Linked DNA regions of Schizosaccharomyces pombe. The protein of the gene in region 1 binds, or shares a complex with, the protein of each later gene. Each region holds a gene or a part of one and is shown in the gene's direction. Other genes may lie near its edges.

Evidence for each region.
Region 2: the proteins of tif224 (region 1) and tif223 are in contact, whole or in part, in a crystal structure (PDB 6JLY), measured with the Schizosaccharomyces pombe proteins. Residues at the interface, in NP_594503.1 of Schizosaccharomyces pombe: Thr133 (codon at 2,191), Thr134 (codon at 2,194), Glu135 (codon at 2,197), Lys139 (codon at 2,209), Asp140 (codon at 2,212), Ile141 (codon at 2,215), His142 (codon at 2,218), Pro143 (codon at 2,221), Ile146 (codon at 2,230), Arg147 (codon at 2,233), Leu150 (codon at 2,242), Lys151 (codon at 2,245), Asn154 (codon at 2,254), Lys172 (codon at 2,308), Ile173 (codon at 2,311), Asp177 (codon at 2,323), Tyr178 (codon at 2,326), Gln179 (codon at 2,329), Phe409 (codon at 3,019); in NP_594962.2 of Schizosaccharomyces pombe: Ile30 (codon at 2,199), Leu32 (codon at 2,205), Gln33 (codon at 2,208), Ser34 (codon at 2,211), Ile35 (codon at 2,214), Pro36 (codon at 2,217), Glu38 (codon at 2,223), Phe39 (codon at 2,226), Asp142 (codon at 2,785), Asp161 (codon at 2,842), Arg164 (codon at 2,851), Leu165 (codon at 2,854), Asn167 (codon at 2,860), Lys201 (codon at 2,962), Ser303 (codon at 3,309).

What each region holds. Positions count from the first base shown.
Region 1 is NC_003424.3:4,255,942-4,260,292, forward strand, and holds tif224 (translation initiation factor eIF2B delta subunit tif224), read left to right. Parts: upstream 1-1,758; 5' UTR 1,759-1,794; coding exon 1,795-3,198; 3' UTR 3,199-3,842; downstream 3,843-4,351. Other genes in the region: cyclophilin family peptidyl-prolyl cis-trans isomerase Cyp8, read right to left, coding at 1-211, 277-1,191, 1,332-1,543; iba57 (iron-sulfur cluster biogenesis IBA57-like protein), read left to right, coding at 4,160-4,351. UniProt on the Schizosaccharomyces pombe protein: Acts as a component of the translation initiation factor 2B (eIF2B) complex, which catalyzes the exchange of GDP for GTP on the eukaryotic initiation factor 2 (eIF2) complex gamma subunit.
Region 2 is NC_003424.3:5,365,437-5,369,878, forward strand, and holds tif223 (translation initiation factor eIF2B gamma subunit tif223), read left to right. Parts: upstream 1-1,968; 5' UTR 1,969-2,111; coding exon 2,112-2,260; exon of another isoform or gene 2,261-2,329; intron 2,330-2,384; coding exon 2,385-2,655; exon of another isoform or gene 2,656-2,778; intron 2,779-2,781; coding exon 2,782-3,223; exon of another isoform or gene 3,224-3,264; coding exon 3,265-3,407; intron 3,408-3,478; coding exon 3,479-3,850; 3' UTR 3,851-3,942; downstream 3,943-4,442. Other genes in the region: amidophosphoribosyltransferase Ade4, read right to left, coding at 1-525. UniProt on the Schizosaccharomyces pombe protein: Acts as a component of the translation initiation factor 2B (eIF2B) complex, which catalyzes the exchange of GDP for GTP on the eukaryotic initiation factor 2 (eIF2) complex gamma subunit.

The sequences.
Region 1 (4,351 bases):
TCGTTTCTCCTTCTCCCGCTCATCTTTTTTCCACTCTTCGAATGGGTCTACAAATATTATGATGTCTTCAAGCTTGATTGGTAACTTGGGGTGATCATTACTGTTGGTAGGGACTTTTTCAAGAGCATCCAAAACATTTAAACCACCGACAACTCGACCAAATATTGTATGTTTATTGTCCAAATGTTTCGCTGGTCCATACAATATAAAGCTATAAATCAGGTTAGCACTTGCATTTCTTTGAAGCTTTTAAAAAATAGAGAAGAAAACACTTACAATTGACTTCCATTGGTATTTTTTCCACGATTGGCCATAGATATAATTCCACGATCGTCATGCTTTAAAGGGTTACAAAACTCGTCCTTAAACGGCTTGCCCCAAATACTTTGACCACCTCTTCCAGTTCCACTAGGATCACCTCCTTGAATCATAAATCTAGCAATATTGCGATGAAAAATTGTATTACGATAATAGCCCTGCTTGGCAAGCTGGACAAAATTGTAAACAGCATGGGGTGCATAGTCTGTATGCAACTCAATATTAATTTCTCCGTGATTAGTAACAATACGCGCGTATCCTTTGTGCTTGATCCGCGTATGGTTAAGCATATAATCTTCTTCAGCAATAATTGCTCTTTCATTCTTCGTTACAGGAGTAAATGATGTGGAGGTTAAGGAAGCTGCAGCATAACCAGTTGTATGGGATGCGCGATGAATTGGCATATCAGAAGCTATAGATTTAGATGAATCGAGAGAATGCGATAACTCAGGTGATGAAGTTGACTCCGTTGACTTGGCGCGAGATGCTTGTAAAGCAATTTTGGCCTTGGTTATTTTTTCATCTCTTGCGGTTTCCTTTTGTTTTTGAATGGCCGAAAAATCTCGGTTCTCAACGTTATGAGGATCCTGGATGGTAATTATGTCGTCTCTGGTAAATTGCTCTTCGTTCACGAGATCCCTCCAATGTTTTGGTTTTATGTTCAAACGTTCAATAGTATCCCAAGAAAAACAATTCCCTGTAGAACGGATAGCCACGATGTGTGAAAAGCGCGTAAAGCTTTTCATCGTAACTGGATCACAATACTCTTCAGCACTGTTTTTTGCAAACTTGAGCTTTATTAAATCTGACATTGATGCCTTTTGTCCATTAATAGGATTAGTACCATGTTTTCGAAGCCAAGGAACAATAAATCTAACACATGTTAGCGCTCATCACCACTTTTTTATGAAGAATGAAAGATTTCCAAAAGCAACTAGATTAGTTGGTAAACAAATATCATTTAATACCAAAAAATTTGCTTCGAAACTCACATCTAATAGTGATTTACATACCTAAAATCGAAAATAATGGCTTGCTTGGTTTCATCCACAAGACAACAAGGATGGTTAAAGGGCTGCAAGGAAAGAGAGCAATAATTAAAAGGAAGTTGTTTGTAACTTGTGGTACTGTTCTTTTGGGCTATGCCACTCATACCACCATGCCACCCATGCACACCCGAATGCTCAGTTTGTGTAATGTACAGTTTGTCTGTATTTTTGCCCATTCCTGTTAATAAATATCATAAATACGTTTGTACGGTTATAAAAAATAAAAATAAAAGTTCTTAATTTTATGATATTTTAAGGCGATAAAGTAATTAATTTCTAGTAATATATATGCGAACTACAAGTATACGTTGTCGAATAGCGTTGGTGTAGTAAGGGTAAGGTCACTAAGCGCACGTTGGGTGTTATAGCTAAACTCATCTACGCTTCTACCAAAACAAACCAATTTAATAGAAATATTGATTTTCTGATGGGGTTCTCAGCAGAACAAGCAAAAAAGGATGGGAAGGATCAAAGCCCTGTTAGTGAAAGCTCTAGTGTGGGAGGAACATCTCCAGCTACAGCTTCTTCTGTCGTTTCTCCCAATGAGCCAAAACTTTCAGGGAAGGAGGCAAAAGCGTTGAAAAAGGCCAGAAAACAAGCAAGTAGAAGAGCAAAAGCCGAAGCAGCTGCCGCGAATAATCCACCCGGTGTTTCAGAAGAAAAAAAGGTAGCTATCCCTAATAAAAATAGTAACCAACAAAAGAAGGCATCGAAACAAAACCCGCAGAATAGTCCAGAAACTGATGCTAATTTGCAAGAAAAAAAGATTTTTGAGGAAAAGCAAGTTTCTATCTTTTCGCACCTCGATTGGAGACGTCGTAGAACCACTGAAAATATTCCGAAAGATATCCATCCTGCTGTTATTCGTTTGGGTTTAAAACTTGCAAATTATAAGATTTTTGGATCGAATCAGCGCTGTATTGATTTGTTGAAAACTTTTAAAATCGTCATCCAAGATTATCAAACACCCTACGGTACGACGTTGAGCAGGCATCTGACCACGCATATAAATTCTCAAATTGCTTATTTAGTATCAACTCGTCCGTTGAGTATCAGTATGGGGAACGCCATTCGCTTTTTAAAACTCGAAATTTCTGTTTTAGACATTGACCTTACCGACGACGAGGGAAAAGAATTGCTTCTGGAAAAAATTGACAGTTATATTCGCGATCGTATTATCATTGCAGGACAAGTCATCGTACAAGCAGCAACCGAAAAAATACAAGACGGAGATGTCATTTTAACGTACTTGCACTCTTCGACAGTAAACGATGTTCTCATTCATGCTAAGAATGTTGGTAAAAAATTCCGGGTTGTCGTGGTAGACTCTCGTCCAGAATTTGAAGGCCGGGTTTGTTTGAAGCTGTTGACCGAGCATGGGATTGAATGTACCTATGTCATGATTTCAGCGCTTTCCTATATCATGCAAGAAGTGACCAAAATTTTCCTTGGAGGCCATGCTATGCTTTCGAATGGTGCTCTATATTCTCGTGCCGGTACCTCTTTAATTTCCCTTTTGGGACACGAGTCTAATGTTCCAGTAATAGCGTGTTGCGAGTCTTATAAATTTACTGAGCGCATTCAATTGGATTCGTTGGTATACAATGAACTTGCACCTGGCGATCAACTTGTAAACATGGGTGTGGATGACTTTGAAGAAAAACCTGGTGTACTCGCAAATTGGAAAAGTGTTAAGAACTTAAAATTACTCAGTCTAAAATACGATGTTACTCCACCTCGTCTAATTACTGTATGTGTTTGTGAAATGGGGCTTTTACCTTCAACCTCGGTACCGGCTATCATAAACGAGTTCAAACAGGTTTATGCTTAATTTCTCTAATTTCCTTTTGTTTTTTTGTTTCGTCCACCTCAGAGGTAATTTATGAGCATATCCATGTTTGCTTCCTTGAAGTACCTTTCATTTTCCCTTTGTTATTTCTCATTCCTTTCTCAATGCTTGGAAGATTTGGTTTGTGTGAAAATAAAAAATTCATTATATTTAAATTTACAAAAGTTCATTGTTTACTCTTTTCTTAAAGGAACCTAAACTGTTCTAATTTTTCCATGTAGATTATATATTGGCATTTAAATTGTCTCAACATGATTTTTGACATATTGGTATATCCAAGGGGAGCTATTGGCATGGTTAAGAGTAATGATGTTCTTTTGTTGTATTAATGGTTAATATTTGTAGATGAAATGAAATGAGCAGGGATCGTACAATGTCATTTCATCACTTCATTTCCGGCTATAGTATGCTGATGCTTCGGATATATCGGAGAAAACTTGCAATCTCTTTTTTTTTAAGACACAAAATAGAAAGCTGTTACTCGATATTCAATTTTTTTTTTTTTAAATTATAGAACTGATGTTCGAAGCTGAAATAAAATTTTGCATCACAAGCTTTACGCTTGATGTCAGCTTATGATCTAAAACCTGTAATAATTTAAGAGCGATTCTAGTAATAAACACCAGAATTAAATATTATTTTTTTAAGAAAAGGGAAATTTTGTTCCTCATCGAAGAAAATTCATCTTCAGTATGTTTTGACCTTAGGTTTTTTTCCTACAGTGATATTACTGTATTGCAAACAAATAATAATATATATCTTTATAATATACACTAATAATTTTGCCATATCCTCCTTGGATTCCCCCGAAAAGTAACAAAAACAATGTGATGCGAAATCATCATCTCAACCACTTATCGATTTTAGAAATTCGGTTTACTGTAAAAGAGTCCTATTCTAGCCTCAGGAAACCAAGTGAATTCAAGTACTTTACCTATGGGCAATGAATAGGTTCACCGTTAGGAGCAAGTTTATAAAGTTCTCATTCCAGCTATTTAGAAATTACAGCGTTTGTCTAAATTCATCGAAATCTCTCATTCGTGTTGAAGGAGTTGATGCAGTCAAGTTTCTTCAGGGCTTAACGACCAACAAAATAACTTTAGATAATCCTGTATACACGGGCTTCTTAAATACA
Region 2 (4,442 bases), 1.1 Mb from region 1:
AGCAACACATGCATAACCACCATTAACGCGATCGTATACATTACGCAAAGCTTCGAAAATATCATTTTCGTTTATACGAAATTTATCCAACCGTTGAAGCTCGTAAGCAAAGATGTTAAGCAAAAGCTCAGAATCAGATCCAGTGTTTACATGACGATGGGCCTCAGTGTCCAAAAAGCGTCGTAATTCGGGTCCATTAATTAAATTACCATTATGGCCCAACACAAGACCATAAGGAGAGTTAACATAAAAGGGTTGTGCTTCAGAGTGAGCACAACTTCCAGCAGTAGGATAGCGCAAATGACCAATACCCATACTACCTACGAGTTGGCGAAGTTGATGCTGACTAAAAACATCGGCAACCATGCCGGATCCCTTGCATTGGTAAAGACGACCTTTGTTTCCAGCGGTTACAATACCGGCGGCATCTTGACCCCGATGCTGCAAACTGTAAAGACCCTCATAAATTTCAGGACATGCCTGTTGATGAGGGTCAGCAAGCATTAACGCCAAAATTCCGCACATTTTCTAAAACTTGTTAGAGCTTCGGTTGTGAATTGAATACAAAAGATAATAAAATGATAGGTTTAAATGTACAAAAGAAAAAACAGCACCCAGTCAAATTGCTATAACTTGATTAAAATAATATGAGTCGGACTGTTCTATTCGGACAGCAATCAAAGTTTGAGAATACTTGGAATATAATTTCAATTTTTTTGTACCGACCGTAAAATGAGTTGTATGTTACCATCACAGAAAATAAAAAATTTTAATCAATTAAGCAGACCTCAGAAAACCTTGTAGCTACATAAGATGAAATTCAGAAGTCTAGCATCTAAATAAACGGTAATCATCATAGGCAAGTACTGCGGCGTTGGAAAATCAATATCTATATTAACTTACTTTTTAAAACGCGTACGAAACAAAAAAAAAAAGATTTTCAGGTACGCGCTGAACAAACACCGTAGTTGGGTATATTGTTAAGGCAAAATTTTGCTGCCGTATAAATTAATTTATTGTCCGCCTTAAATGATAGTGAAGTATGAGTCGAAACTATGACTGCTCAAGATTGTGATGAACGATTCGCTAAATAGAAGCTTAAAGAGAGGTGGGATATGCGCACGTTAATATAGGTAACAGGTATAGCTTGCTACTTAGCTGACAGGGTAGATGATATTAAATTGTTTGCTATTTTTGTTGCCAAAAAAAATTTTTTAAGCTTAAAAATATATCTTTAAATAAAACCTTCTTATATCAAAAAAAATTCGATGAAGTTAAGAGTGGTGCAGTGTTACAGTAATGCCGCATACACATCAACTTATTATTGAGCTTTACCGGAGGTATCCCATTACTATTTATTTGTTATAAAATCTTTCAATGTTCTGGTTTTTCTTCCTTCTTTACTCGGTAGTTAACAACAATACATTAATCACCGAGATGAGAGCTATGGGTAATCTAATCCAAAACTTTTAGTTCAACTTGTTACGATTGCAGTAGTCCAATGGTTTTTAAACTTAAAAAACTAATGAAAACAATACACAATGTACTGTATCTCTAATCTTCTGATTCCTCAAAATAATAGTTTACTAACCGGCTTCAAATATTTGTTCCTTAATTGGTGTACAGAGGATCATTTTCTGAGCGCTTGATTGATATTTTTTACTATCGGATTGATTATAAACCAGGATCGCGAAAACGTACCGATTTATAAATCGTTGATTATTAAAACATCTTTTTTAATATTGCACATTAAACAAAATTACAAGTGCAAAGCAATAATTAGTTTTCAAGCAGCTCCACATTTTGAGTTGGTAAATCATTTTAAAAAAAAATCATCAATAGTTCATATTTCATGAATACATTTTTCTAAACACAAATATAAATTCAGCACATTTTTATTTCAGATAGTGATGTGTAACGTGTAAACTTTTGGCTCGTTAGTAGGGATCTAGGAAAGTAAGGTTTTCCATCTTCATCAAATATTGGCGTACTGCAAAAAAACCCAATAATTCGTCTTCTATCAGGTTATAAAAGATTTTGGCTTCAAAGCATCCTTTTAGGTAAAAACCTTTTGTAAAAGCATCCAACGCCTTGAAGAACAACATCTCACAATGTCGTTGTATGAGCATGCTGCACTTCCTTTAGCCAGTAGCCCTTCAATCCTTGGACCTATTTCTGGTGGACGAAATCGGGGGAATATTCAATTACAGTCTATTCCGATTGAATTTCAAGCTGTTGTTTTTGCAGGATTTGGCAATAGGTAAAACAAACAAGTGTAGTACTGACTACTTAACGATTTGGATAATGATGACTTCGCACATATTATCTTCATCAACACTTAAAAAAGATAAAATAACAATAAGAAAATACTAACCATGTTTTAGTTTATATCCTTTGACTGGAAGCGATGCACTTCCCAAGGCTTTATTACCTATCGGCAATAAACCGATGCTTCACTACCCATTATATTGGCTTGAAGCTGCTGGATTTACTTCTGCTATTCTTATTTGCATGGAAGAAGCGGAAGCCCATATCAATGCTTGGTTACGATCTGGCTACGAGGGACATATGCGTATTCACGTGGAAGCACCGACTATTTTAGATGATTCTAAAAGCTCTGCCGATGCTCTTCGTGCTGTATCCCATCTTATAAAGGTATGATTTATTTTTATGTATAAGTAGATATGCATGTGTTCTTAGACTTTTTGATCTTTTCTCTCTCATTCTGCAATTTAATTACTCGTCTTAAAGTCACAAAAAATGCTAACCGATACCCACCAGAATGACTTTGTGTGTCTCAGTTGTGATAGTATAGTTGGTCTCCCTCCCATATACGGTTTGGATAAGTTTCGCCTTGATAACCCTTCAGCACTGGCTGTATATAGTCCAGTGTTAAAATATGAGCATATTACAAGTCAATCTAAAGAGATTGATGCAAAACAACTGATTGGAATTGAAGAGAAGACGAGCAGACTATTGTATGCCAAAAGTTCCGCAGACGTGGGCAGTGATTTTACATTTAGAATGTCTTTGTTGTGGAAACACCCAAGGGTTACGTTAAATACAAACCTTTCGGATGCCCATATATTTGTATTTAAACACTGGGTTATTGATTTGATCCGGGAGAAAGAATCTATTTCTAGCATTCGTGGAGATCTCATCCCGTATCTTGTTAAATGTCAATATCAGAAATCCTTTACTGTACGAGAGAACATTCAAAGATGTAAGTGCTTTTTTTAATTAACTATTTTCTAACAATTAAAGTTTTGTCATCTCCTAACAATATTGATAATTATGATGGGGGATTATCCTCACAGGAAATTAAAATTAATGCTTTAATTGCCAAAGATGGGATTATTTGTTCTAGGGCTAATAATTTACCTAACTATTTCGAACTTAATAAATGCGTATGTTTTCGAAAGCTGAGCTTCATCTCGCTTTTTAGCAGTTTCATCCAATATCTCTAACAGCAAACTAGATCGCCAAACTTACTCCAGAACAACGCCTTGTAGATGTCACCGTGTCCGAAAGAGCACTGGTCGGTGCCGATTGTATGGTGAATGAAGGTACCACCATTAAGGATAACAGCAACATTAAAAAGAGCATTATCGGTAAAAATTGTGTAATTGGAAAAGGGGTAGTGGTCAGCAACTCTATTTTGATGGACAACATTGTTGTTGAAGACGGAGTACGTTTAGAATCTTGCATAGTCGCCTCAGGTGCTCAAATAGGCGCTAAGTCAAAACTTCGTGAATGCGAAATTGGCGTTGATCATCGCGTTGAAGCTGGCCGTATCGCTCGGGGTGAGCGGCTGGTTGATATGGAAAAAATTGAGACGGACATGGACTAATACTGTGTATCAAACCGTTGTCAGCCAACCTTTTTTTTGAAATAGATATAATAAAAATTTCGTGCACTTACTCTACAAAGTGTGTCTAAACTAATCAAGGTAAAGGTGATATTAGTCAGGAATTTTTAGATTAAAAATATATACTCATAGATCAATATTAGCTAAAAGCGAAGGGGAATAAATTACAGATGAAAACGCATGTACATATATATGCAAAAAAGTTATACATATATACAAGGTTATACACATATACATCTAAAAAAGTTCATATCGCTATGGGTTAGTAATAACTCGAAAATATTTAAAACAAATAAAATAACCAAAAACTTTAGCACTCAGCGATCTTGGTGATAATAAAAGAATCATTTATTGATCATAAGCAAATATTTCATCAATTGCAAAGCAGAACGGTTATTTGTTTTGAAAATTAAATTGCCTTACCTAACGTTCATAAAAAACAGGACGTTCTTTAACTCCATTATTATAATATTTAAAACTTAAAACAGTTAGCAAGGTATTCGTATTAACAAAAGCAGTTGATGTAATGGAAATCAATCAGAAGATTATTTGTCGCATACTGATGGAGCCCATA